Oreochromis niloticus: one gene and its partners. The protein of the gene in region 2 interacts with the protein of the main gene of each other region in a pairwise test. Links are inferred from orthologs where the notes say so. Each region holds a gene or a part of one and is shown on either strand. Other genes may lie near its edges. The genes, in order: kiaa1143, cep76, cryba4 and lg12h22orf39.

Region 1 (7,966 bases), about 460 kb from region 2:
GCTATTTATGACTGCAAATGCAGGAGAAATTTACACCTGAAACCGTGTAGATGAGCTGGTTTCAGAATCCGTGCATTTCACAAAGACGCTGCTTCAACTACCTGCCTGTGGTGTGTGTGAAAGAGCTACACTGAGGTAAAGCCGTATGGTGATGTGCGTCTTCAGTCAACTCCAGAATCAAGCAGGAGCTGGTTTACATCAGCCCGGTTCTCTCTGCTTGTGTTTGAGACATTTATAAACTTTGAGGTGTGAAAATATGAATTCTTGTCCCACAGCCATGACTTTAGTCCACTGAGAACTAAACCACCTTAAAAGTTCATATTTGTCCTCACAGAACACACACACGAGAACATGCAAACTAAAATGTTAAAACAACAAAGTCACGGGGCTGGAAAAGAGCAAACCCCAAGTTCTACAAAGTGACACAAGTCAACACAGTCTGGTAGCTGTAACCAAGGGAAACGTCCTGCTAATATGTCAGAGTGGGCTTTCACACAGCAGCTGAACCAACTCCCCTCTTATCAGTAACACAGTACTGTATAAATGTCCTTGTGTAGTTTCTGACCCTGACATGGATGCAGGATAAAGTTACACTAACAGAAGTATAACCTCATCTTCTTTGATGCGTGTTCATTTTTTCCCCTCGGCTTCACTGTTTCTGTTCAGACTGTTAAATGGATCAGAATCATCCCTGTAGTCAGACGGAGACAACTCGGAATAAATTCAGTTTGTGCCAGCTGATTTTTATGCTTTACTAAAAATGTATGAATCTATGTGTCATGTACGACATGCAAAAACAGTAGCACTGTCCTTTAAAAAGAATGGACAGGCTGAACCATGTCTTATACTCAGTACAATGTTCCTGTTTCCTGACAGCCTACTCTCACCACTTCCATTCAGTCCTCCTCCTCCTCATCCCCTCCAAATGACAGGAGGCTGTTATTTTTAACTTTCTTTCCAGATGCCTCCTTTTTCTCCTCCTCCTCCTTTTCCTTGTCCCCTCCACTGCTCTTCTTCTTTTTGCTGGAGCTAGCACCGATGCCCTGGAATTTATCTGAGGAAGAGCGCTTGGCTGGTTTCTTGAAAAGGATTTTACCATCAGGGGGCTGACCATCTGCGGAGCAGACGGCGGTATGTATGAGCAGGGTAGCAAACACAGGGTTTTATGTTAACATGCTGTATACAGTGCATACATATTAGTAGTGCAACGGATCATGGTTGATCCGTAATCCGAACCGATCCCACTCCACGGGGATCGGTTCGGAGAACCATACACATACAAAAAAGTATGTGTATGGTGCGCGTGGTCAGTCTGTCAAGCGATAGTTATGGCCAGCGCTAGCAGTCCAAGTGGAGGAGCAGAGGAGTTTGCGGCATTTAAGCAGCCCTTTGCTGCCCAATCCGACCGGGTTCAAGCTATTACAAAAGCTATTGGGGTGTTTAGCTGCAGACGGGAGGCCATATTCCGTTGTGCAAAACAAGGGGTTTAAACTATGATGAACGCGCTTGAGCCCCGCTATGATATCCCGTTGCGCGTCCACTTTAGTGGCAAGATCGTTCCAAGCATGTATGAGCAGGAAAAGTTTAAAGTTATGGCTGAACTGTCCCAGGCATCTTCTGTTGCCCTAACTACAAATGGGTGGACCTCCAAGGACACGGAAAGCTACGTGACCGTGACCGCTCATTATATCACAGCGGAGTGCGATATAATGAGCAGTATGTATTATTGTAGGGTCTACCTTACAATATAAAGCGCCTTGAGACGACTGTTGTTGTGATTTGACGCTTTGTAAATAAAATTGAATTGAGTGGTAGATACAAAGCCCTATATTGTACCATAATTTGTTTTTATATAATTGCGTGGAATGAGTCTTGAGTTGAATGTTTTTAACAGGCAAAAAATACTTCAATAAGTAAATAAGTCAATGTTAATTTTTTTTTCTTTTTTTGCTGATCCGAAAATTGATCCGATCCGTGACTTAAAACCGTGATCCAATCCGAACCGTGAAATTTTTGATCCGTTGCACCACTAATACATATGTAAATATTTTCTTACTCCTGGTGTAATTAAATCATTGAACTGGACTCTCACCTTTCTCTGAGCTGCCTCCAGCCCGTATTTCATCCTTCACCTTCTTCACCTCCTCTGCAGTCAGGTCTCCACTTTTAAGGACCACGACCTGAGGCAACTCGTCCTCTCGATCGCTGCCGCTCTCGTCATCCAGTGTTGGCATCACCTGACGCTGAGATAGCAAACAGACCGTCAGCCTGTTTGAGATTTTTTTTGTATTTTAAATCCTACATTCACTGTGAATGATGGTGCCGAGGTTTCTTATTTCATTGATGATCATTTCATCAGCAGCCCTACACTCAAACTAAAATCAGGAACCTGTAGTTCAGAGTCATGATTCAAGTTCTGGCGGGGTTTTCTTTTTGGGTTTTTTTGAAATGCAACTTTATACAACTTCCATTCATGAAAAGCCATGGCTTTCTGTTGTAGAATGTAGAATACATAAATTCAGTTGTAGTACGCCTGCGCAGTCACAGCTGAACGCTGCAGCGCAGTTTGAAACTGCTCTGATGGTCTGAGAAACAGCTGTAGCTCGTGCGGCCTCACTGCTCAATTCAGTGAATGGGACCCTCCGTTGAATTATGATTCAGAGCATTTATTCTTCCTTATATGAACACAATGCGCCTACGCTCAGAAACACACGTCACAAAGTGTAACTGTCACACAACTCAAAGAGCTAATGGTTTGGTAGGCCAGGGGCAGCTAACTGGCACGGCTAACCAAACCGCGTAGTTACCTTAGTGTCGACATTCGGTCCCTCTTTGTACCCCACATCGCTCTTAAACTTCTTGAGAAAGGACGGCTCCGCCGGCTTCACCCATGCTACTCCGCGGCCCTTATTTTTATTCATGGCAAAGAAGCAAAACAAGACAAACAGCCAACGAATGCAGACTCCAGACCTGAGCAACTTCCGGCTAGCACGGACTCATCAAAACATTGAAACCGTCACTAAACCGCGACGCGTCACGTGACTTCAGGAGCTACTGTCATTGGTGGATTTGGGAACGTTGATGCCACAGCGCTGCTTGGTGTTACATTGGATCTGCACAAGGGACGATAATCTGTCGCTCACTCACAGAAATGATTCAAAGCGAAACATCGCAGAAAAACTAAACCGATGAATGTCCTCCACATAAAGCAGCAACTCGCCCCGTTTAACTCGAAGAAGCAAACTCTCCGCTGTGACTGCTCGCAGCGCCGTTAGCTGTGTGAACATGAAAAGTTAAGCATTAGCATGAGACACTTTGAGAACTCTGCCGATCTGGACTCTTTTATTAAAGAACTGGAGGAAGAGTCTCAGACTAAGTTTATCACCTTTTCCGTGGACCGCCATTTTAATGACAAAGGTAACGAAATGAAGAGTGACTGCTGGCTGAACACAAGAGCCGTAAACACTGCTCCCTGCTATGGTTCAGTAGTGAGTGTGTCGGTTAACGCCAGGGTCTTATCATCAGGTCATGTGCTTGTATTTGTCACACAGATTGGCATCCTTTGCCCGGAAACCGGGTCTACTGGCAATGGGCTGGGGGCTCTGGGATGCCAGCCACTGAATTCACCGGAGTCCCATTTATGTTTGTGGGCTCTAAAAGGCTCGTCTGCCATCAGGGCAAAGACCTCGCCGTAGCTCAGAAGCAGAGATATGCCGAGGAAAAGGCAAAAAAGACGGTGATTTCACTGCACGTTCAACACACACACACACACACACACACACCCACACAGGCTGGCTGGTGATGCGAGGAGCCTAGGGACAATCCTGCTGTGATTGGTTGTTTCGTTGCCAGGCAACTGATGACGCTGTAGCTTTGTAGAAAAAGGCGCGCAGAGTAGATGAGTTGGGAGTAGTGCTGTGGGATACTGAAATTTGTGTATCAGTCCAATACTAAGTAAATACAGGACCAATAGTGACAACACTTTTAACCTATAAAAGGCAGCTTATGTAGTGGAGAGCAGTGCGTCATGATTTATCAGACGAATCATCATTAATGTCCAATTTCTGAACACAATTTAATGGCCTATAAGTCAGTGTGATTTTTACTTTTCTACAACAAAACACACCTTTTAGTTTTTCATGTATTTTGAAATTGGGGCTTTCTGGAGACCTTGGATGTGGCTGTCTCTAAAGCACTTTTGATCAACTACTGTCGTTTAAAGGTGCTATAGGCTTTAAATCCTATTGTGTTTGTACCAATACCGGCATTGGCATGGATATTATCAATATTAGGATCAATCTGCTCACCTCTAATGGACAGCAGTGAACCACAGCTACTAAGAAAGGCGCACTACTCCTCCACCTGTTTCTCCTGTTAACTTGAGTATGCTTAGATGTTCTGCTCAAGTTAGCTAACCTTGACATGAATTATTGAATTAATTATTTAACTGATTTCTTTCCCATAATCCACAGATGATGGACCACACTTTAGTTAGGAACAAATCAAACTCGCAGTCTACTAAAAAGGTGGGATGCCCAGCAGCCATATCAATCAGCAAGATCGCAACATTCCCTAAATTCAAGGTAAGTGGAAATGTTGGCTCTCCTACAGGGATATGATCTTTAAGCGAAGACAGCTGAATTTAAAGGAGAAAGCCTTGCAGTATGAGTTTAGGACTCAGACTAAATCATTTTGTTTCGGCACGTGTTTCTCTCCATGATCACCACTCTGATTTCTATCTGCATGCATCATAGTTGGAAGAAGACAGGGAGAGGAGTAAGAAGGCAGCCTCCAAGATGCTAAGAGAGGCCTTGGAGAGAGATCCAGTTGTATGGGGAACATGCTATGTTGTCACACAGCCAAGTGCGCATGCTGGGCACGCAATGGGAGAAATGGTAACGCACAACAGTCTGCTCACAAAGGACGAAAACCTGTGTTTCCATGTGAAACTACAAGTGTGCTATATTTAAAGGAGCCCGTGGACGCAAGAGTGGAGCAGCAGGTGGTGGAGCTCAGAAAGCAGGGCGTGAGGAAGGTCAGCGAGCTGAAGCGTCATCTTGCTCAGTTTGTAACAGCCGAGCTTTTTAAGGGAGCTAGCCCACCCCCTGCGTCCAGGCGCCGGTACTACCCCTCAGAGAAGGACCTCCGAAATATAATGGCTAAGGTGAAGGACCAGGCTCGGCACAGAATCGATCAGGTGAACCTGGAGGTGAGTGGCGCCTTTATCATTCCTGTTTGGGTAAAACACCAGCATGTGACTAGTCCGTATAAAAAAAGAAAAAAAGACTGCCTCCGTACAGAGGATGCCTCCTTCCTCTTCTGCCATCAAACGTTGTGGCAGATGAGGCTGCTGCGCATGTATGGGGCAGATGTCTGCGTGTTCGATGCCGCCTACAGAACAATCCGCTACCCTCTGCCCCTTTGCTTCTTGTGCGTCCGCACCAACATGTGCTACTCCGTTGTGGGAGTGATGGTACTGCAAGAAGAAACAACAGAAGCCATCAAAGAGGGTCTGGAAGTCTTCAAATGTTGGAACGCAGACTGGAGGCCAGCAAGCTTCATGGTCGATTGCAACGCTGCCGAAATCCGAGCTGTTGAGTCTGTGTTTGAAGGTACGGTGAGCTAAAATGAAAACAAAGTGATCACTGTGGATTTTTACTCTTTTTATACATCTTGGTGTTATGATTATATATCAGTGTGCTCTCTATTCAGTCTCTTTCTATCTCTGTGCAGGCACCAAAGCGCTGTTCAGTGACTTTCACAGGGAGAAGGCATGGGATGAATGGATACAGAAGGAGCATCGAGTGGCTGACAAAGAAGATGCTCTTGCAAAGCTGAAAGCGATAGCCACCTCGCTCACTACACAGCAGTTCGAGGAGGCAGTGAAGGCCCTGATGGCCAGCCACACCTGGGAACAAAATCCTGTGTTTCAGAGCTGGTTTTCAGACATGTGGTTGTCCAAAGCAAAGGTAAGCATCTGACAAAAAAGCAGCTCCTGCACAGAGACATTTGAAAGAAAATGGGACAAAAGAAGTTGCAAAGAAAAGAGGTTTACTATTTTGTGAAACACTAACATAAAATTAGAAGAAAAATTGGGGATTTCATCAACTATGATACATTATATCATTAAAATAAATCATCGTCAAGTTTAAAAGCCTGCCTCTGTTGGGGGGCTGGGTGGCCTGAACACAGCAACATGGGTGACTTGCTTATGTGTGACAGTCACATTAATGCTGAAGAATACAGCACAAGCCACTACCTTCCAGATTATATCCTTTTAAAGTAAAGTTTGGCTTATTTAAAGTTGCAGTGAGTAAAATCTCACCACTAGATGTTGGTAGATATTAAAATATAGATAGTAAAATATATATATTATATACATGTTCAAAAGGTTAAATGGTCATATATAGTTTGAAAGGGTTATTTGTGATCTTTAAGTTAAGATTAACCTATATGTGGCCTGTGCCAGGTGATAAAGCAGCCTGGCTTCAAACAGCTGAAATTCTATCACCACAACAAACTCTCACTATATCTTGCTTTGTTTAAGAGATGGGTGTCTGCCTTCAAAGAAGAGACACTGAATATAGCCATCATCACAAACCATGAGACCGAACGCCAGAATAAATTGTTCAAGCACAAATACCTGGAGGACTACAGGAACCGGACATTATCTGAAATGCTGGACATCGTGACACACATGTACATCCCTGAACTGTGGAGGACGTAAGTTTTCCATTTGCACAAGCTTGTCTTCAGTGTGCACGTCATGTCAGCAAAAATAATGTTTCTCTTTCAGGTACATTGAAGCTAATGTGAGGTCATACAGACAGTATGACTCCAGTGTCCCTCCTTTCCTGTGGGACAGACCCACAGACGTCATTCAACACATCACGAGCTGCATGGACAGCTCTCTCTCTGAGGGACGTGGTCAAGCTGGGCGATGGTGTTTTCAGAGTGAAGAGCGAGACACAGGAGGACCAGTCTTATGAACTGGCATTTGGGTCAGACGACAGCTTGCCCTCCTGCCAGTGTGATGACTGGAGGCGGTACAAGTTGCCATGCAAACATTTCTGTGCAGTCTTCCAGACGGTCCCTGGCTGGACGTGGCAGCAGTTATCCCTGAAATACAGGGAACACCTGCTTCTTAACCTGGATGCCACGTGTTGCTCCATGACCCCAGACTCAGTGGACGAGTGGGGCATGGAGGTAGTCAGTGAGTCAGTAACCTGCAAGGGTAAGGTTTATCTGCAACATGAGAGAAGAACTTCATAAAAGTTACTGTCTTACCCGCACAATCATTAACCTGTAATCTCAAATTTTAGGGAGTGCAAATTTGTCTAAGTGTAACTTTCTTTGCAGACACACAGGTGACCTCTGACTGTGACAGTCCACCACGCAAGCGAGTGAGCAAGTCATATCTGAGGAAGAAATGTGTCAACCTCACCAAACAACTCATGGACCGAATATATACCAGTGAGAGCCAAGACACACTTGAGGAACTTTCTGAGACATTAGGCAGGCTGGTGAAGGGGCTCACATCTGTGTGTGGAAGTGAGGATGGTATGCTTCATCTGGAAGCAAAGCGGGTCAGAGTTTCCAGCTGCACAGACTGAGGGTGAAACCCACAAAGAGGCTGTCCTCTAAATCATCGGAACCCTTCCTCCATCAAGGACACGCAGACACTCTTCTTTTCAAACCTCTGTACGGTATCACATTGGCTCAGTTCTTATGCCTTTAGTTATTTTTTACAAGGGTTACATCAGTGCATTTGTTCACTTTTTCATTGGTTATATGTGCATCAATCAAATCATTCCTTTCACACGCCCATACAAAGTAGCACTCACTGCCTTTACTGTTAGGCATGGTTTGCTTGTATGTCCTGCAAGGACAGTGTTTTAAAAACAAAATGATTAAATGGAGAAAGAACTAAATGATTGTGTGTGTGTGTGTGTGTGTGTGTGTGCGC
Region 2 (7,080 bases):
GCTTTTACACTCAGCTCCCTCTTCACCACGACGGACCGGTGCAGCGTCCGCATCACTGCAGCCGCAGCACCAATCCGTCTGTTGATCTCCGGCTCCCTTCTCCCATCACTCGCGAACAAGACCCCGAGATACTTAAACTCCTCCACTTGGGGCAGGAACTCATCCCCGACCCGGAGTGGGCACTCCACCCATTCCTCCAGAATGGCACATCAATAATCCCTACCAGGATTTCTGTGTCTCCCAGCATAGTCTCAAGAGCATGGAAGACATTCCAGGACACAGGAATGTCTAAGACAGCTAGACATCCTTAGATCCTTAACCCATCAGCATGACGGTATCTGCTCCTTTATGCAAGGAGGAACAGGATGAGCACTCCAGAGCTACAAAATTATCTTTAGCAGGTCACTGGTGTGAATGTCTCTTAACAAAAAAATCAGAAACAGACTTCATTAGAGTGGCCTGAGGGCCTGATGTCCTCTAATGGCTCTGTGTTTTTCACAGATGAGAGCAGGTTCACCCTGAGTACATGTGACAGATGCGAAGGGGTTTGGAGAATGATACTGCCTGTAACATCATTTGGCATGACTGGTTTGGTGGTCAGTGAGTGATGGTCAGGGGAGCCATATCTTCACAGCCCTCTACAGGCTAGGCAACAGAACCCTGACTGCCATTAGATATCAGGAATAAATCACTGGACCCAGTGTCAGACCCTACACTGATACAGTGGGTCATGGATTCCGTCTGGTGCAACACAATGCCCGGCCTCATGGGGTGAGAGTATGCAGGCTGGAGGACGAAGGAATTTATACCACTTACTGACCCCTCCGCTCACCTAAATCCAACAGAGCACCTCACCCCAGAGCACTGCCACATCATTTTTTCACTTTTATTGTGGGAGTGTCTTTGAATTCAGCACTTTGTAGGTTGATCATTTTCATTTCCAACCAACACATTAACCGGTCTATATAGCTAGATATCCAGCATGATTTTTTGACTTCTGCTTTTGTTCTTCAAAATTAAAATCAAAAGAACCCTTCATTAGAAACTCTTTGTGCAGAGAGAGTCTGTTGCTCACCAACTCCCATCAGCTCTACAGCAAAGCAGGTCTTGCAGCTGGGCGAGCTTAGGACAGTCCTCCAGTCCAGGAAGTAGGATGAGACAAGCATTGTTTCACTTGAGGTGTCTGTTTTTATCAGCACAAAGTGCACTGGGTCACACACTGACAGCATGGAGGTCGCATCTGCCATCTTACCACTTTCCCCTGGAATACAAAAATTGTAAAATTATACTCTGTACATGGATGGTTTATTAAGCAATACAATGAGAACAGTATTTGTGATTGACACAAACAGTTGTGGTTAACACACACCTATACCGTCTCTGTGGATCTCTAACAGGAAGCCCTCCTTGAGGTCAGGTTCACAGGCACAGGGCACTGGCTTTGATCGAAACCTCTGGTTGCGGAAGTGCAGGTAGAGTGTGAAGGTAGAACACACCTGACCAGGTAAGGGCTCCGGCTCCTGGAGATGCTCCAAAAAGGCTTTCCCTCCAAGCACCTGGAGATACAGGCATCGCCTTGATGGGTCAATATTGGCTGAGAAGAGAAAAGTAGAAGAGGAATAACGTTAGGCAAAACAATCTGTGCATCATATTATTATTTGCTTGGTATGCAAATAATGTTTCTTACTTTTTTTCAGATGAGTGATATCTTTATCAACAAAATGAGTAGCAGGTTTTGTAGGTGATCCCGTTTCTGCTTCTGTGCCGGCTTCCTACCACGCCAAAATGACAAGACAGAACAGTCAGAAAAGATGGGACAGAACTGACACACTGTATTACAGATATTTTTAATCCATACTGAAGGCAAACTGTGAAAGTAAAACGTAGCTATCAAGGGGATTGATACATTGTAGATGTTTGATTGATGGATGGAATGAAAAATACTTCTATATTAAAAACCAATTAGCAATGCAGGTCTGAAATTGCATCAAAAAAGCTGGGAAACCTGTGTAAAGTGAAGATCTTTCATCATATCATCTATGATGCCTCTACGCTGCAGAGCACGCAGGAAATCTGCTTCAGACAGAGACCGACGTGCTGGGCCTTGATCATCCCTCACAGTCTCAGCCAGGACCTCTCGGATCTTCCCATGGATATCCATCTGACAAACAGAAAAACAAAATTCCTTCACCTACTTAAAAATTGTGTTTGTGCTTTCTAAACATCCTCTAAAAACAGTCCTTTCCCATTTAAACTCTGATTTTGGGAAGTGTGTGTGTATGTTTTATATCAGTAGACCTATAAGTACCGTCTATTCGGTGCATTATTGATGCGAAATCTTTTCTCATTCATTACTTTTTACAAATCAATTTTTCATTCAAATCAGCAACAAATGTAGGATCGAAATTGGTCTTGTTTGCTGTGTGAATTTGTACTTTATCTGCTTATAGACGCTTGGCTGGAAAACAGCACGGGTTCCCAACGGTGCTTTAAATAATGCTGTATAAAGAGATGGTGCAGCCAATCTTACCAACTAGGTGGTAATATGTGATTTCTCTGTGATGTGCAAATGCAAGGAAATAGGAATTTGTGACATTAAAAAAAATCTATTTGCCCACTATAAACAGCTAGCTTCCCCCCTTCATGAAAAATACCCGTGTAACCATGCTGCTTAAGGACTTCAGCATTCAACTGTACATTGTTTACAACACGAATAGCCATAAAATCTATGTAGTTTTCTCACCTTGAGCAGATGGTTGTGAATGATTTGCTTCAGCTCGGAAGCTTTTTCTGGAGGCAGCGACATTATTGCTATTATTTGTGCTTTTTAGGCTAAGCTAGCTAGCCAGGCTTATACATGGGTACTGGTAGAAACAATAAATAACGCCGTTGAGTTATAATGAAACTTTGTGTGCATTCGCCATTTTTCGCAGAAATGTTCTTTTCTGACAGCAACAACTGCCAGTTCAAACAGTGGCGGAAAAGCGAGCGGGAAGGTTTCTCCGCTGATGCCCGACACCATACTCCGGAAAAAAAATCAATACCTCGACAATTTTGCTCTAAAGTTACAGGATTTATAAGAATCACCATATAAACCACGATATACGTATTTTTGGTGGTGCATTTATTGTAGTTTTATTTCATTTTTGCTCACCAAATATTCCCCATTTTATTCAGGGATATTTTTACGTACCCCAATCGCGTCACGAATTGCGACGACATGTGAAAGACCCTTGAATTGTAGTTTAAATTATAGCCACTGTTTTTATGTTTATTTTTTATATGTGGAGGCGTTTTCATACTAAGGCAAGACATAAATGGATCAAATTACGCATATCCTGCCTATCGACAAAGGAATAAAAATTTAAACGTAACTTTCTAAGCTTTAATGACTCGTACGTATTATAAGTACTTATAATTATGCCAGTAGGGGGCAAGATTTGTGTCAAATATCAGTCAAGTGTTTTAAGAAAAAGACACTTATGGTGAATATGGTTGCATTATAACTGACCTATTGTTTAAATTCTGTTAATGAGTAGAGAGTGTCGTCATTCGGGGAGGGGCGGGGTTCAATGGATGAAGAATGGTGAGGAAAACAGATGTTACAAAGAGGTGGTGGGTCGGTAAAGTCTTAAGTTGTATGTGAGACCAAATACTAATGGATGAGAAAGGGACAGATTGGCTAGGCAGAGAGATCGAGCTGGAAAGCACGTGTAGCAGGTTAGAGTGATTCAGGACAGATATAGCTATGAAGTGAAGAAATGGAGTTGAGAAGACTGAAGGAGTACTTTGAGGAGCTGATGAATGAAGAAAATAAGAGAGAGAGGAGGATGGATGGAGGACAGTTAGTGAATCAGGAAGAGCCAAGGATTAGTAAGGAGGAAGGGAGGGCAGCTACAATGGGATCCAGAGTGGAAAGGCAGCTGGTCCAGACACCATACCTGTAGAGGTATGGAGATGTCTAGGAGAGAGGACAGTGGACTTTTTAACCAGATTGTTTAACACAACCGTGGAAAGTGAGAGATGCCTGAGGTATGGGGAAGAACAAAGGTAATGTGCAGAGCTGTAGTAACTACAGAGGGATAAAGCTGATGGGTCAGCCCATAAAGATATGTGAAAGAGTTGAAGCTAAATTAATATAGGTTATGATCATTGAGCATCAGTATGGCCTCATGCAGAGAAAGAACACTACAGATGTGATGTTATATTTAAGAGTAATCATTGAGAAGTATAGAGGTCAGAAGGTGCTTCACTGTGCCATTGTGGATCTAGAGAAAGCGCCAAGAGAGGAACTGTGGTACTTTATGAGGAAGTCAAGAGGCCCAGAGAAGTGTGCGAGTGTAGTGCAGGACATGTATGAGGCCAATGAGACAGTGGTGATGCATGCAGTAGGAGTTATAAACAATCAAGGATCTGCTCTGTGCCCTTTCTTGTTTTCAGAAGCAATGGGCGTATACTGACAGTTGAGGTCAGGCAGGACTATGATGTTTGCAGATGACACTGATCTGTAGTGTGATTGGGGAGTAGGTGGATGAGAGCCCATAGAGGTGGTGGTATGGACTGTAGAGGATTAAAGTCAGTAGAAGTAATACAAAATACAAGTGTGAATGAGAGGGAGACAGGTGATAAGACGACCGTACAATAATTAGAGAGAGTGAAGATAGAGTTTAAATACCTGGGGTCAACCATCCAAAAGCAGACAGTGCAGGGGAGAGGTGAGGAACAGAGTAGAGGCAGGGTAGAAGATAAATGTCAGGGGTGATTTGTGAAAGGACAGCAGAAACACTGAAAGGGAAGGTTTACATATCGTCTCTTTTGAGATGGTGGCACTGACAAAAAGGAAACTGAGCTAGAAGTGACCAAGCTAGAGCGGAAGATCTCCGAGGAGGTTCATGGGTGTAGGGAAGGAGGACATGCAGAGGATTGGTGTGACAGAGCAGGATGATGCTAGGGACAGTGTGAGATGGAGGGCAGATGATTCGCTGTGGCGACCTCTAAAAGGACCGGCTGAAAGAATTAGGAGGAGCTGTACGACATAACGACAAAGCAGAGATCGAGCCAGCATCAAACAGACAAGCTGAAATAAGTACAAAGGCACAAAATACATTCAACACAAAATACACACACAGTCCCAGACAAGAGAAAATGAAATTACTACAGCAGTCAATGTGAGCATGGCCTCTTCTTGAAATATTGAATCAATTCCTGGAATCCACAGTGAGAGGTCTCCAGTCTGTCTGCATTGATTTAGCTCATGGTCAGAATGAAATTATGAGTAACAGCACAGAAAGTGGGTGAGATGGGAAGAGCTGTGGGTAAAGCTGCTTTACGGATACAGAATTAAAGAACAGGCAAGCAAAGTTTGGTTTATAAAAAAAAAAAAAAAGAAAAAAAGAAAATTTTATTTTTTATGAAGTATTTAATGTTTTTGTTTGGTTTTGTCATTTTTCTCATCAAAACTCTTCTGTCATGTTCCACACTGCAGCTCAGTGTACAAAACTCCCCTGAAAACTGTACACAGAAAACAATAAATGAATGGAATGTTACACTTCTCTGGGGTTAAATAAGAAAATAACAATATTAATAATAATAAAATAAAAGCCATGTTCTACTGTAGCCAATCAAAAATTTCACTTCAGGAGTCAATACATGCTAATGACACATTCAATGTTCAATCAACTCAAACACATGTTACTGTACACCACCTCTAATCTGGTCATTGCAGTGCAAACATGTTACTCACATTATGTGCGACATGACAATTTTCTGTACTGATCACACACCAAAAAAAAAAAAAAATTCTGGGAGCGCACTTTTTTTTCCTCCTTTCCCTATTTAACACATTTCAAGGCACATTAAACGCTTTATCAACCAGCCCACAAGGACATCGCTCTCTTCTAAATTTAATCCAAGGTGCTCTCCTTCAGCTTCTAAATTGCACTATTGTAGCTTTGGATTGGTCCCAGTCAATTGAAAACCGAATCGGCGATCATGTGGGTTCAAAACACGGACAGGATGTAGAACGGTACTAGCATCATTTTGTAATACAGGTGTCAGTTATGACAGAGAGATTCAACAGAATATACATTCGACATGAGGGGAGTATACGAGGGTTCATCATTAGGAGCTTGTCTGACTGTTACCTTCCTAAAAACAGGCTTTGGTTTCTTAAAATAAACAAAAAAAAAAAAAAAAAAAAAAAAAAAAAAAAAAAAAAAGCGTGATCACCTGAACATACACAGACCAACCCATCCAGTGGGTAAATAACTTCCTAGGGGGCAACGTTTATGATCCATGTGGCAGCTAACAAATGCAGGCAAAAGAAAGAAAAAAAAAAAAAAGTGTGCACATAACAGAAAATGAACATTCTAGCAGAGTGTGAAACATTGGCAAGGAAGCTCCCTATGAAGTGTCCAGTCACACAAAAATATTCTTCTGGCCGTGTTGGGATGCCCTGCTAAATGTGAATGGAAGAACAAGTGGTGGTCTGGAAAACCACAGAACGCATGCATTTCATTATATTACATTAAAACTAAAGAAAAGTAAAACCCTACAGCTGACCTCTTGGCTCTGGAGTTTTCCTACAAGTCTACAGTAGGATGAACAAGTCAACACAAGTCATTCTGAAATGTAAAATGTAAAACGTGTTGATCGACACATATCTGACTATTACAAATAAAGAATGTAAAAATAAACCTGTCACTATATATTTTTCTTTGTACTGCACCTTTAGTAAGTTTCTGCAAAGCCATTTTTGCTATGATACAGTACATTCATGAGCAGTGACAAGAAGGAAAGGAAATTAAATCATCGTGCTGGCACCGAGATCCTGAGATGTTACTATTTTTTTGTTTCGATCTTACATGAAAAATATACAGACGCTCGTTTGATCTAGCGCTCCCACATTTTGACCTTGAGAAATAAATACCCTCAATTCTGCACATATTACTGTCTAAATCTATGTCGAGAAGAAGTACCTAATCCCAGGTACCGGTGCAAAATAGGAGTCAGTTTTAAATGACCCGCAGTGCTTCACTGGGAATACATCCAGTACAGCAGGCCTACAGCCAAGACAGCCCC
Region 3 (7,613 bases), on a different chromosome or scaffold from region 2:
ACACAAACACAAATACAACATACTCTTTAGCTCAGACTTTCTACTTTAAATCACTGCCATTTCTTGATTTTGGAGAATCACCACAACAGACACAGACAGAAAACAAAAAAAGGCAGTGATCTATTTGTTCATGTTGATCTTCTATGTGTTCTCCATACAAAGAATCAAACAGCATTTCAAATGAAGTGTTTTTGTTTTTTGGACATTTTGCTGTGTGAACATTAATAAACTATAAGCTAATTGAGTTACTGGAGATTCTCTTTCTCCCACTGAGATCCAGGTTCACCAGAGCTGTTCCACTAAATGCTTTGGCACTACACTAACACTTACTACTGATATCTACTTCTAGTTCTGACTAGTGTTAGCCAACTGCTTAACAGATGATAAACACATTCATATCGCAAAAGCATCTTTCCAATCAACATCAGGTTTGGCATCTGACATTTTCCAAAATCAGCATCATGTTTGTTTAGCCAGATATTAAATCTTTAATTCTTGTACCAGAAACCAAAGACAATTTGTGCTACTCAACACAGGACAGTGTATTCTTGTTGTTGTTCACAGGACACAATAATCATATATCACAGTAACAATCATCATCATCATCATCATCATCATATACAATATGTAATGTATTCTTACAGCTTCAGTCTGTTATTGCTCCACTATGTGGAGGTAAGGAAAGAGGCAGAACTTGAGTTTTTGTTCTGTGCATGGTGTTTCTGTAGCTTCTCGTGTGTAACACTCTGAATGTCCAGACATCTTCCTTTCTTTGTCACAGTTTCTCTCTGCACTGTCCATGTTTAGATGTTTTTGTGGAGAACCTGCTGTTAAATTTGGGATTTGACAACAATTTTACACTTTTATTATGAATCCAGTGCCCGTGTAAAGCAGGTGTTTGTCAAAGAGAGCATAGGCAGCATTTTTTCAGTTATTCTGTGGTATCGTGTTAAATTAACAGTATAAATGTAAATCAATGCAATAGCATGAGCCAAGTAGGGTAGAAGCTTGGGTTTTACTAGCCTCACCCCAACCTTACGCTTTACATTTTATCCAGGCTGTCATTATAGCCGGTACATTAAGATAAAGAGGGCGTACGCAGCATGTTCACTTCCTTTAACTTTGCTAGGATAATATTTAGTAGTTCTTGACTGGTGGGTAATCTGGACAAAAAAGCACTGCCACACAACTGTGCATGAGAATTCCTCCTGGTCATCTTCAGAGGTTGAATAAAGGTCATTGTTGGTGGTAATAATTATGGGATTATGGCGAATGGATTATGTGTGGATTATATCACTTCAGCTGAGATCATTTCCACGATGGAAGGAGGATTAAATTGCGTTTGATATGTGAACTAATCCTGCAGTGTAATCTGGGTGACTTCCATGCTGTGATTTGTTGTAATTTCTGCTGCCCTCTTGGTCAGGTCTTTCCTGAGAAAGGGATTTTTAATCTTAGTCAGACTTTTTCCTGATATTTCAGAATGCCACACAGACACGGTTTCATTTGTAAGAAAGAAAAGTCACCAACATTTTTAGCAAAGTAACTCATAAAGACAACAGGGGACTGACATTAGTGAGTATTCAGACAGCAGGATTGAGTATGTGGAGTTTAGTTGAAATAAATGTGTTTGGGGTAATAAATGAACATGTCACCAAACGGACATTGTCTTGACTGTGGTCTCTTTTTTCATACAGAAGAAAAGAGTGGTGCAGTGCTTACTGTAAAGAATATACACTATTGCTGTGATTCAGTCCCATTATGGAGACTTTACATCTTTTCATCTAGCCTCACATATCTGATCCTACTTGGTAGGGCTGACTTTAAACATTTTAGCATCAAGTGGGAAAATAATATTAAAGACTGCACCAAAAGCAAGTGCATCTCCATAGATCCACAATGCAGAAGTTTCAAATGCAGAAGTAAGGAGCATTAAAAAGCCTGTTCACGGTCTGGTACAAAAAGCAGAAACTTTCACTACTTCAGGCTTGCTGTGTCTTATGGCACACCCATGAAGCTTTGGTGAGTGAAATTCTGCTATTTTATTAGTCTCTTACTACTAACAGGTATCTGTACCTGTGTGTTACACCTGTACCTTTTGCCAGTGAAGCTGACAACATAGCATAGCACACTTTAATGCAAATATTGTAACCAAAGAGATTCGTTCCTTTAATAGTTAGAACAAACCATTGTGTGAGCGTTCCTCACTAATGATAGCTAATGCTAGTGCTGCTGACATCATTAGAAGGAAATAAAAGAGAGCAAGAGCTTATATCTGTGACTTCATTTTACGATGATAATAATTTTGATGATGATACTTGCCAAGTCTGAAGAAGATTGGATGAGTGGTTGTCACTGCTTTACACTTTTAGGCAGAAAACACACATGGACTTTTAAATGCATTGACCATTGTCACTAAAACACATCTGTTTAGACAGGCATTTGGGTAATGTTCGTGTGTAATATGTTGTGTTATGCTATATTTATACTGTACTATTGCTTTGTTTGATATGCTTTTATACTTCCTTAATATTGCTATATTGTTTGTTTGACATGCCTTCATTCCCATGTGAAGCACTTTGTAACAGCTTCTTGTCTTAAAAAGTGCTATATAAATAAATTTTACTTACTTACTTACTTACTTACTTACTTTTATCTTCTGACACTGCCACAAAATGTCCTGCCAAATGAAAGGAACCTATTGATTTTGACCAGCCCTTGGCTCTTTCATTCTTGTTGGTCAATTTTCTGATGACTGCCAGGGGTCTCAGGAGCCCTCCCCGGCTTTCTCAAGAAGAAAATATTTAGTCTGTTTTTCAGAGGGGTTCATCATTATCATGGCTGATTGCACAAGTCCACTGGTAAGTAAACATTGTCCTTCTAATGTAAGATGAATCAGATCAGTTTTTTCTCTTGTTGTGTAAAAAAAAAAAAAAAAAAAATCTGATGAGGAAACCTGTTTGATATTTTTGAAATTTGACTCTTTTCAGGCAGGAAACATTTTGGTCTCTGTTCAAAAAGTTGATTCTGTTCATCTGGACATAGTGTTTTCAGTGGGAGAAATGTTTTGTCACTCTTGTAAGTGACTTCTTCATTCTCAGCTGACTGCAGGTTTCCCCAACCTTAATGATCATGTAACTGACCTCACAGCCCATTGTTAGTCCGTGGTGCTAGTTTCAGTTATTATACAAAGATACTGTTTATAAGGATGGGAGAAAAAAAGTCACTTGGATGAGAGATGAAACATTTCCCCCACTGATACATCCAGATAAACAGGATCAACTTTTTGGGATTTGCTGGATATGGATGATTGAACTTTCATTGAGACTTTTGGTCTCTCTGAACTACAATTTCTGTTTTGATTTCAGAGAAATTAACTTTTATTAAGCCAGGCTTGTATATGAAGATCTGAGGCAGTGAATTATGTCTAAAAGTTGCAGATAAGCTGAAATTCCTTTAGGCTCACTGGAAATAAGGACAAATTTGTGCTGTCCATACAAGTGCCTCTGCTCTCCTGTTTACAAGTGGTTGATTATGTAAGCACACACACACACACACACACACACACACACACACACACACACACAAGACACTCACTAGCCCACAAGTCCTATCTAGTGCATTACACTACAGCATGCAGGTTAAATCTGTTTTTACTATTGAGGGCTTTTTTTTATTTTTTCATTAAACTGTTAAACATTTGATAAAATGTAGGCTTTGTTACTGTAATTATGAGTATAACAAAAAAATAAAACACACAAAGAAAGAGTGCTGCTATGATCTGTGTGATCAACCACGTATTCTTACTAGAACACTTCAAATGATCAGATTTCAGATGTGGAGACGTGTTTCATGTTAGAAAGCATTCTGGTGTAAGTATTAGTGTTTGCCATAATTGGATGAATGACTTCATCTGTACTGGTTAGATTTCTCACTGCACACATTGGAGGCTTTCATAAGAATACTATCTGCACTGAAAATCTGCTTTGACACATGCATGAGGTTGCTTTTTTTCTGTTTTGTTTTTTTTAAAAATTTATTTCATGTAGCCAGCCTGCTACCTGCCCGAGCACCTGAAAGTGACATCAAAGCGACTGAGAACAGATTCCAAATAGTGATCTTGCAAATAAAAATCCTTTGTTATAACCGTTTTAAAAACTTGAGGTCTTTTTCCTTAAGACTTAGCTTTAGGTTAAATAAGCTATATATCAGACAGAGCCATCTAGTACTCTTCCTATTTTCTGACACTAAATTGCAAAAAACAATCATAGCCATTGTAATTAGCCGTCGCAATTAGTGCTTTAACTCTGGTACCAACCTTTTTTAGTAGATATAACGAATTATTGTCTTTATGTCCATAAAATCGTCAAAGGATCTTGCGATTCTCTTAACTTTCTTTCTGTTGTACTATTTTCAAACATGTTGTGGAAAAAAACACATCCTCTGAGTCACCATCAACGCTTCACCGCTGTTACCAACATGAACAGGCATGCACACAGAGCTCATTCTGTCTGTGTGTGTTGGTCTCACATCATCAACAAATTCTAATGGTATGACAGGCCATTATTATATTTGCAAATTTCACACATTTAATGGCAAAAATGAAGCACCATTTAACTAAGAAAATGACTGGTCTTTACTTGCAGACATAAATTGAAATAAAGAGTTAAAGAGCTTCCAGCTGCGTTTTTCTCTTCCCTCTCTGATGCCGTTGGCTCTCAGTATTTTCTCAGCTTGCACTCTATGTTTCATTTCTTATATTCCTGGTCTCTGTGTCCACTGCCCCCAGTGATAATGTGGTGTCTGCACTTCTGGCCCTCCATAGATTAACGATGCTTTTGTCAGGGAGGGACAAAGAAAAGCCCCTCCCTGCTGCTGAGCCGGGGCTTTCAGCATGGACCCCTGCCAGGGGAGGCTTTAAAAGGGTGGGGGCGTGTGGCTCCTCTCACTCTCACGGCAGGACAACCCAAGGGCATCAAGCAAGGTGAGTTCCTGTCCCTCGCCCAGCCGCCACAGCCATCCAGCACGGCCAGCCAGGGTACCACAGCCAGGGTATAGCATCCCCCATATTCACACATCCATATCTACTCCCACTCCAAACACACACCATCCAGGCTCCACGGCTGAAATCACTGCACCCAGTGGCTGAGATGAACAGTGACGATGATGGAACAATCTTAGAAATGGGCAGAAAAACTAGAAAGAGAGAGAAAGAAGTTAGAGTAGCCAAATGAAGCCTGTGGCCTCTGTGACCCTCTTCTGTTTGGTATCCAAACTATAAATAGACATTGGTGCTTTCCATCTAGCAATTACAAATTCAGGCTGCTTCCAGTATCCTGCCCATTATGTGTAAAGTACACACTGTACCTGCGACACAGACTTGTTTTTTCATAGGTCTGACAATAGAACCGATCTCCTGTTCTTCACTTTTTGGATTTCTGGTTCACACATCTGTCTTTACTGGTTAGCTTCTGGCTAGTTTCTGCATCAGAATAAAATGACTGCTAACCTCTCAGAGTGTGTGGCTTCCCTGTTGTCACTGCTGTCTATTCATTGTTAGCACTCGTGGATAAAATTCTTTCTTCCTTCCAGACAAGATGACTCACCATTGCACCAAGTTCTCCGGCCACTGGAAGGTGAGTCTGCAGATGGAAGAGCAGCTTTATTCATCAGCACCTTTGAATTTTCCCTCAGATGGGACCACGAGCTGCTTGTTGTAAAACGCCTCATACAGTTGAGCATCAGGGAGAGTACCCAATGAAGTCACACCACATTAGGACGCTATAAAAACTTCATTAGGATTGTAATATCACACAGTTGTGCATTAGGCCTTGTTAAAAGTGGTTTATCTCCCAGTTCAGAGCGATTAGCTTAGCTAACATAGTTTTATATGTTTGAGGCGAGCTGCTGAAGTGATTTCAGACATCACACATCAAGTTTAAGTGGATGGTGTGTGATAATACAGCCATCAGCTGCATGTCCTTTTTCCCATTAGATCATTGTCTTCGATGAGGAATGCTTCCAGGGACGCCGCCATGAGTTCACCTCTGAGTGCTGCAACGTGATGGAGTTTGGCTTTGAGACCGTTCGCTCCCTCAAGGTGGAGAGTGGAGCGTGAGTAAACAGATATGTGCGCATAGAAAGAGCAGTCTTACATGCAGCAGAAAACCAACATTAAGTGACATACAGTTAACATGACAGGATGTTATTAACCTCCGTATAAGCGGATTTAAGAACTTTTGGGATGATGTAATAATCTTTTTTTTTCTATGCTTCCTTCCAGCTGGGTGGGTTATGAGCATGCCTCCTATCAGGGACAGCAGTTCGTCCTGGAGCGGGGAGAGTACCCCCAGTGTGATGCTTTTGGAGGTAGCAATGCCTATCACATTGAGAGACTGACCTCCTTCAGACCCATTGCCTGTGCTGTAAGTTATCTCTCAGCTTGTTTTCACTGAAAAACCTGCATTATGTGCAAATGCTGCTGTGACAAATCATTAATGTAGACTTGCATGACCTGAAAAACTACTCAAATGTATTCTTTTTTTACCTCCCCCACCTCCAGAACCACAGAGAGTGTCGTATGACTATCTATGAGCGTGAGAACTTCCTGGGCCGTAAGGGTGAGCTCAGCGACGATTACCCCTCCCTCCAGGCCATGGGTTGGTGCAACAATGAAGTTGGCTCTCTAAGGATCCATTCTGGAGCGTGAGTGTCCCCAGCTGCTTATTTGCCTCCTTTTTCCCCCTCCTCATTCTCTCAGCAGTTCAAAAAATAACCCTACTCAGATTTTCACAATATGCTTTGCAACATTTCACAACATTTGCATTTCCACGTCTGTCATTTCTCAACAGATTTGTGTGCTACCAGTATCCTGGTTATCGTGGATACCAATATATCATGGAGTGCGATCGTCACTGTGGGGAGTACAAACACTTCAGGGAGTTTGGCTCTCACTGCCAGACCCCTCAGATCCAGTCCATCCGCCGTATTCAGCAGTAATAACTTACACCAAACCCTTTCTAGCATGTGACCCTTCACCTTTGACCCCTGCTGCTTGCCCGTGCTAAATAAACTGTTTTTCTTAAACCTTACTGACTTCCACCAGTGTATGTGCTTATCATATGGACATACTAAATCACTTATACATCGCACACTTGTGTTTTCCTCTGAATTGCGATCACTTCTGTATAATTCACATGACGGTGTACAGCGGTTACCTGCTAATAAGGGTGAATGTGAGGAAAAAAATGCCATTTAGAACCAAGTATTTAGCTTATTATGTAACTGCTCAATGTCAACCAGATTAATAAATGTGAACCAAACTGTAACAAATATTTGCAAGTCCTTTCACATATCTTTTTCTGAGATATGTGCTAATCAAACATTGCTGTCTTATTAAAGAAGAAGAAGCTGCTTTCCTTTGTGACAGTGGGCAGCCCCATGTGTTTGATTTGGAAGAAACCCCCTTTCCTGGCACAACTCCAGGGGGGATTTGTGTCCACTACACTATGGAGGGACAAATGCTGCTGTATTATTATCTTTGATAATTCAATAATCAGTTTTGATAAGTCAGTAATCACTAATGGTAATTATTCCAATGTTTAAAATATAGT
Region 4 (6,964 bases), on a different chromosome or scaffold from region 2:
TGTCGATACAAACAGGTTACCACTTACCTATCGCACCTGCGTCACTAAAGCTTTTATGGAAAATGTTACATCTGACCCTGGCTCTCCATTGCATGCACTTAGTGGGTTGTGTCTGTCTGATGTTCTTGCAGAAGCAGCACATGGCTGAAGTGGAGGCTGTTGAACTGGCTTTGGAAGCACAGAGGGAGGCACTGGAGGAGCTGAAGCTGGAGTCTGAGGAGCTGTATCGGGCAGCGCTGAAGCCTGACCCGCTTCTTATTCCCTTTGTTCACGAAGGTCCCACATATACGCCAGCAATACCCAATTATGACGCTCCTGATGGGAAATACAACGATATCACTAAAGTTTACACACAGTGATAGATGAGGAATGGCTGTGTAGTTTAGTGTGTCTGAATGTTATTCACTAAGCAAAAATGCAGCTTCTGCGTCTTTATTCCTTCATTGTCATTCATTGTGTGAGAGTTACAGTGAGTTTGTGTCACATTAATATTTCTGTCTATAATAATGAAAGAAATCGAATAAAAATTTACATCTTTTTATTGATCCAGTTTCCAGAATCTTTTTGAACATGTCATGTTATAAGGCAGAAAACTGCTACACAACTCTGGATTCTGTCATGTCAATTTTTCAGTAAGATTAAACATCCCATAGACCTGACTCCAGCATCAAGAGCTACATAATTAACCTTTCTTAAAGTCAATTCATATGCTTAGCAGCTGACAAATACATATAGGCCTACCAGTACCATGCAAAGACCTGGCTCTTCACCTTTTTCAAAGAGAATGAAGCAGATCACTGATTACATGGATTGATTATATATCCTGTCAAAATAAGGATAATATAGAGCTAATTTTCACAGAGTCTCCGAGTGCAGTCGGTCTTTGTGCTTAAGTTTACACAAGCTTTGCAGAATTAGTACCTATGACACACCAGCCTGCCTGGAAAGAGATCATATTCACTGATAAAACAGAGGCTGAATCCTCATCGCTGACCACTAGCTGCTGTTAGACATACTGTACATATCATTTTACATACAGCAGTTCTCTGAATACAACTCATGACAGCTCGTGATCACAAGAATGTCCAGGCTCTTTAACTGAAACACAGCATGTTGTCAAAACTCGATGTTCAGGAGTCCTGAGGCTTCTCCTGGTTCAGTGGCACGTGCCAGTCTCTAGGAGGCTCCTGCCTGAGCTGCCACACTGGAATGAAGTTTCTTTGCTCTGCCACTCGGATTTTCTCACTTCTCCGCAACGCCTCCTGCAAGACAGATACAGTGAGTGTATTTATACAGCCTGGAGGGGATCACAAAGTCACCCATTTAGGACTTTAATTTCTTGCTGTTCCACCTTAGCCTCGGTGCCTCTATGTTTCTCCCACTCTCTGCAGTTATGGTAGTCCTCTTTCCACTGCTGGCAGGACGGCACGGTACCGTAAGTGTAGTAGTGGTGAAAGCAGTTTTTTAAACTTTTGCAGTGTCTAAACTCACTCCAGTAGTCTTCACATGCCCGCGGTGGCTGTGGCGACAAAGCAAACAAACATGAGAATAAAACTTTAAACTTCTGTTGGGATTCTGGTGACTGACATCAGTCGAGGTCTTCATTGTCTCCCCTCCAAAGGATGAAAGTAATGCAAGAGCAACTGAGGATCAACCTTTGTCCTTCACCTAGGCTAAAAATACAACCTCATTTCATACTGAAAACTCACCACGATGTGACATCTTTTGCGCATGCGGGCCGCTTTGAGCGTTCACACTAGAGCGCGTTTGCTGTCGCATTTTATTTGTAGTGTGAACGAGCAGACAAAAAAATCGGATTTGATCAAAAAATCGGAATTGAGCATTAAGACCTGCAGTGTGAACGTAGCCTTTGTTGGGTACACCTGTCTAACTACTTGTTACTAATAAAATAATCAACCAATCACATGGCAGCAACTGAAAAAGAGGAAATATACAGTGAGGGGCAGTTCTCTAAGCAAAAATACCTTGTCAACGTCAAAGGAGAATAGCCAGACTGATTCGGACTGAGAGGAAATCAACAGGGACTATCAAAAGTACCACCAAGATATGCAGAAGACCATCTCTAAATTCACGGCATGTCAAACCTTGAAGTAACAGAAGACCACACCGAGTGCCGCTCCCCAAGAACAGGAAACTGAGGCTACAGTTTGCACAGGTTCAACTACACTGGGCAAAGGAACACTGGAAAAACGCTGCCTGCTCTGACGAGTTCGAATTTCTGCAGCGACATTTGGCTGGTATGGTGAGAAGTTTATTGATGTTCATCTCACATTTCTGTCAGCAGCAAGTGTGTGATGCTGTCGTGCCAAACTGGAAATCTCTGATGAATGTTTTCAACACCTTCTTGAATCTGTGCCACGAAGAATTAACGCAGTTCTGAAGAGAGTCTAACCCAGTACAAGCATGACGTAATGGCCGGTGAGTGTTTAACCTGAGTCTCTAAAGTGTTCAACATTGAAACAGCGCCCCTCTGCGGTCGTATTAAGAATGGGCTGACCCTCAGTTTGCTCAGTGGCTGATTTGACTTTCCAACTACACACATGCTATTTTTAAATTTGACCAGCAAGCCCAGATATTAGTGCATTTCGTGAATCAAAAAATATACTTCGCCTCCTCGGATCTTCTTTGTCTGACACTGCTAGATGCTACAGAAGAGTAAATTTGCGGTTTAGCATCTAAAGCTAATCACCTTGCGACCTACATCATCAGGATTTGACTTTGATTATTTTCAGTCTTCTCATAAACAATGCAAATCAAATTAACTAAGGAAAAGTTATCAGTAACGAAATTAATAACGTAATATCTGGTTTAATTACCCTCCATGCGATTTCTCCCACAGCCCTGTCCATCGCTAGCTGCGACAGCTTTAGCAACTGTACTCCTTCCGGTTTTAGTTTTCACAACAAAAGCCCTTGCCGCATTTCTGTAGCACTTATTTTGAAAATACACGAGGCCACGAAGCATCAAAACCAAAAATGTGTGCATTGCTGAAGGTCGTCATTGTGAATTTACAGTTTATTTAAAGATATTCTGCTTTTAATGGAACGAAAAGTATAAATTATTTGGAACAATATTTTTTCTGAAACAATTAAAATGTCGGTTTTCTCAAATCTGAATTTGTAGTTACTATTGCTGATTGAGAGCTCAATCATTCATTATTTTACCCATTTATGTAAACTCACCAATTCCAATAGTTTATCCACTAATCATCTTCTTCATATATAAATACTCGACTCAAGTGATGTCACAGAAAGAGCATAATACCTCAAAAAATAGGTCTGAGTGCAATTCATTTCAAAACACCATTTTATTTCTATATAAATAAAGCAAAAGAAAAGATTCCTAAAAGTCAGGAAAAAAAAAACCTTCAAACATAAAATTATTCTCAGTATAATCAAAACCAAAAGCTCCCATTTTATAGTAACACTGGGATTGTGGATAACAGCATATTTAAAGTGGATTGTAAAAATAAAAAAAGAATTATGGAAAAGATGGGTCTGCGCAGAGTCGGAGATCATTCAATCTGATATAAGAACAATAGTTGCTGTCATTTTTTCATGTTCTTGAAGAGACATTTCCTGAAAATCAGTCACTCTGAATTTGTGAATACCAAATTAGAGCTGACATTTTAGGCTGCTCAGATTCTTTTGAGCAAAATATTACTGTCAGACTTTTAATTACATGCTATAATCAACTGCAAAACCTCCATTTCAAAAGGGACAGGGGCAAAACCCAACGCATCTGAAAACCAATACTTTAATACACCTGCTGAAGGTGAAAAGAATAAGATAGGTCTGTGCACATAAGTCAGACTCCCCGTTTGTATCTCTTCAAGGCTTTCGGCCCTTCTTGCGTAGTGACTGCCCTTGTCCAGAGAAGGCGATGAATCTGTTCATGGCATCATCCTGAGAAGATTTAGAAGAAAATGGAAAAATATGGCATGAACACTAAATATAAGACTTTAAAAATTGCCAGGAAAGAAAACTGTTTGCATTACTTACATCATCCACAATTTTCTTGGGCTGAGGCCTGGAGTTTCGAATGAAGGTGATCCTGCCAATTTTGAAGTCATAGTTGGGAATCCCTCTGTGTGACGAAACATTAGACACACAACAGCTTGGGAAACCATTGTCTGCGTGGTGTAGCTGTGTGCTGTCACCAGAGCACAGCTTAAAAACATATGTAGGACAATACCAGTGTATAGTTACATTGGTATATTTTATACTTCTTTGCTGTTCAGTACATCTTAGTAGAGACAAACACTCACCAAAGCTGTGCAACGCCATGTGGACCATTCAGAAAGTTCAATAACCACTCCAGTTTTTGTTTTTGTTTTGTTTTTTTTTAAAGGTAAACAAAGAATTTTCTGACAATTATGGTATGGTTCAGGCTTTAGCATTCAGGGTTAAGACCAGGGTACCTAGTTGCCTTACAGCATAAATCCGGTATTCCTCTCTGTTTTTATGAAGCATAAAAAAAATATACATAAAAATGCTCAGAACTCAGACAATTTAAATATATCTCCTGACAAACTCATGTGCCTCAAGATGTCACATTCTATGTCTCAACTCAGCTCACCAACTTACGCCTGACCAAACCTGCAACACAGGTAGCCCTGTCTGAGATCTCTAACATAGCCTAATAGATATAATGGTTCCTGCTTGGGGCCTTTAATATACTGAACAGCAGCAGTTTGAGCTGACTGTCATTCCTCTCCTAATCCCTTTCACAATATGCTGTTAAATAAAGGTGTAACATTCCCTGTAAAAATAGCTTGTCTTAACAGTTGAGCTAATTTTATGGGAATGTGTAAGACACTCTTTTCACCTTTTAATGTCACTTGGGGCGATGGGAGCAGGGCTGGGTTCAATTCCTTTAGTTTTACCATCCAAACGATTACCAGAACCGGTGAAAGCCTGAAAATAAAGCACAGATTAGAGATTAAATTATGTTCTTTAAGTACTTATAGTAGTAGTACACATTAACTTGAACTCACTCTGAAGCCTGTGTCCATGTCAGCATAACTGCTGGGATCTGTTTCTTCCTCCTGTCAGAAATACAGTTTTATTACATTGTTCAAAGCAGAAAATGTACAGTTACCATGATGGTTTGCTCCTTACTGTTGGTTCATCCTGGTGATTAGGCCGTCGTTCAGGCTCTTTGTAACCCAAAGGAGCATCAAAATCCACCTGAACAACAAAGTAACAGCACATGAGCAAGCAAAGCAACAGAAAAATTCACTGTGACTGTAGTGAAGTCCGGGATCTTACATTCATATCACACTCGATGATGGATACTGCTTTATCTGGTTTGGTCTCCATTACTCGCAGCTCATATATCTGAAACACACAGATTACCTTAGCCTCGAAAACAAACCACACACAAAATCACACGTCACACGTAGGCTGTAACAGAGTATAGAAGCACTTGATCAAAGCCATCCATGACCACATTCATTATAGGCATTTTTTATGTGTTTTCAAACTTTAAAACTGCAGAAGTCTCCTGTTTAATCTTCCAGGAAACTCTCCAAGAACAACCCTTGGTCACATATAATTACAACAATGATTTAAAGAAACTGATTCACCTTTTCGTTGTAGTTAATGGCTATGACGTCACCAGTTGTCAAGCATGCAAAGTTTCTCAGTGCGTTCTCCAGTCTGTAATGAATGTTAACCACTTATGTTAAAACATAAAGTGTCAAAAAAAATAAAAATTTAAAGTTCAAATAAACATTTCAGCCTGTACTCCTTACACTGCTTTGGGGTTTGTAATGTCCAGGAAGTCGGGGCTCTGAGGCTGGAACTTTGAGTAAGTGGCCACCATGAGGTTGACACTTTCCACCTGAACGAGACCGCCTTCCTCTAACAGGAGATTCTGCATCATCTGCAGCGAACAAAATACAGCAAATGTCACTCGAGCCTTCATTTTTTTCTATTTCCATCCATCTATCAAGTCATGGGGGAAAGAGTGCAAGGTGGGAGTACTCGGGGAGAACCTATGCAGATAAAGGAAGAACATCCAAACTCCGCACAGAAGGCCTGCAGCCAGCTGGTATATTTCAACCCTGAATCATTGTGCTGTGAGAAGATAGTGTGAACCACAGCATCGCCAAAGATTTTAATCAGCAAAGAATATTTAGTTCAACATGTTGCAAATACCAACAAATTTGGATTTTTAAACTCATACTTCTACAACATTGTTATCCACTTCCACACAAGAAGAATAAGTAAGTGCTCCTCCACTGCTGACAGGAGACAGTTCAGCCTGTGTGATGGTGACATTAAACTCATTACTGTTTCTCACCCAGTGAGGTAGGTAACAGATTCCCTCGTCTGCCACAAACTCCAGGACACCACAGTGTGTCATTCTGTCTGAGTTCTTGTTGGTCAGCTTGAACAGCATTGGATAGGTAATGTTAAGCCTGCCTGAACAGAGGAAAATAGAGCAATGCTAAAAACAGGATGTAAACAGGACATTTAGTAAGAAGTTTTTGAATAAACGTGCGCTTACTGAGCTGGTCGAGAGCTGAAGGTGGCATTATTACTGAAAAGAAAAGAAAAATAACAGTTACTTTAAGGAAAATATGTGTTTTCATAAAATATGTTGAAATACGATATGCAACTTTCACCTCATACATACCAACATAAACTTGGACATTTTGAGGATATTGTTTTTACAGTTGTCTTTTCTAACAAGTACCACAAAGCAGTAAATAGTTAAATAGTTAACTTCAGATATGTTTGCGGTACCGGATGTATGTTTGGACAAGGGAGCTGGTTACACCATGTGGATGTTGGCACATATTACACCCACAATACAGTGGTGAATGCAGAAAATTAGCTACATGTAAACCTGCCAAACATTACACCATCGCTCATCAAACTCTATGTCCAATTTGACTTCATCAGACATTTGAGTTTTCACAAGTGCTTCAGGAGGA

What was found.
Region 1: the proteins of cep76 (region 2) and kiaa1143 interact in binary tests that used the Homo sapiens proteins (3 or more experiments, as listed by UniProt). The two-hybrid records come from large-scale screens. The link is inferred for Oreochromis niloticus from reciprocal best matches to the Homo sapiens genes CEP76 and KIAA1143.
Region 3: the proteins of cep76 (region 2) and cryba4 interact in binary tests that used the Homo sapiens proteins (3 or more experiments, as listed by UniProt). The two-hybrid records come from large-scale screens. The link is inferred for Oreochromis niloticus from reciprocal best matches to the Homo sapiens genes CEP76 and CRYBA4.
Region 4: the proteins of cep76 (region 2) and lg12h22orf39 interact in binary tests that used the Homo sapiens proteins (3 or more experiments, as listed by UniProt). The two-hybrid records come from large-scale screens. The link is inferred for Oreochromis niloticus from reciprocal best matches to the Homo sapiens genes CEP76 and C22orf39.

Annotation. Positions count from the first base shown.
Region 1 is NC_031976.2:5,087,454-5,095,419, forward strand, and holds the start of kiaa1143 (uncharacterized protein KIAA1143 homolog), read right to left. Parts: upstream 3,020-7,966; 5' UTR 2,922-3,019; coding exon 2,808-2,921; intron 2,244-2,807; coding exon 2,093-2,243; intron 1,132-2,092; exon of another isoform or gene 1,115-1,131; coding exon 897-1,114; 3' UTR 1-896. Other genes in the region: uncharacterized protein si:dkey-31c13.1, read left to right, coding at 3,306-3,417, 3,552-3,736, 4,473-4,583, 4,755-4,895, 4,973-5,612, 5,734-5,969, 6,548-6,723, 6,797-6,989.
Region 2 is NC_031976.2:5,547,323-5,554,402, reverse strand, and holds the start of cep76 (centrosomal protein of 76 kDa), read right to left. Parts: upstream 3,010-7,080; 5' UTR 2,807-3,009; coding exon 2,744-2,806; intron 2,162-2,743; coding exon 2,006-2,161; intron 1,773-2,005; coding exon 1,688-1,772; intron 1,595-1,687; coding exon 1,370-1,594; intron 1,262-1,369; coding exon 1,076-1,261; intron 1-1,075. Other genes in the region: ptpn2a (tyrosine-protein phosphatase non-receptor type 2a), read right to left, coding at 7,033-7,080. UniProt on the Homo sapiens protein: Centrosomal protein involved in regulation of centriole duplication. Required to limit centriole duplication to once per cell cycle by preventing centriole reduplication.
Region 3 is NC_031972.2:9,182,352-9,189,964, forward strand, and holds cryba4 (beta-crystallin A4), read left to right. Parts: upstream 1-4,635; 5' UTR 4,636-4,984; intron 4,985-5,592; 5' UTR 5,593-5,597; coding exon 5,598-5,636; intron 5,637-5,995; coding exon 5,996-6,114; intron 6,115-6,283; coding exon 6,284-6,425; intron 6,426-6,562; coding exon 6,563-6,705; intron 6,706-6,851; coding exon 6,852-6,999; 3' UTR 7,000-7,091; downstream 7,092-7,613. UniProt on the Homo sapiens protein: Crystallins are the dominant structural components of the vertebrate eye lens.
Region 4 is NC_031977.2:25,885,686-25,892,649, reverse strand, and holds lg12h22orf39 (synaptic plasticity regulator PANTS), read right to left. Parts: upstream 2,782-6,964; 5' UTR 2,287-2,781; coding exon 2,218-2,286; intron 1,520-2,217; coding exon 1,352-1,519; intron 1,263-1,351; coding exon 1,131-1,262; 3' UTR 522-1,130; downstream 1-521. Other genes in the region: mrpl40 (large ribosomal subunit protein mL40), read left to right, coding at 1-15, 132-359; ufd1l (ubiquitin recognition factor in ER-associated degradation protein 1), read right to left, coding at 3,852-3,926, 4,023-4,107, 4,849-4,937, 5,018-5,068, 5,142-5,210, 5,292-5,360, 5,609-5,681, 5,777-5,907 and 2 more. UniProt on the Homo sapiens protein: Negatively regulates long-term potentiation and modulates adult synaptic plasticity. Stabilizes the interaction of RTN4 isoform A/Nogo-A with its receptors, inhibiting clustering of postsynaptic AMPA receptors at synaptic sites.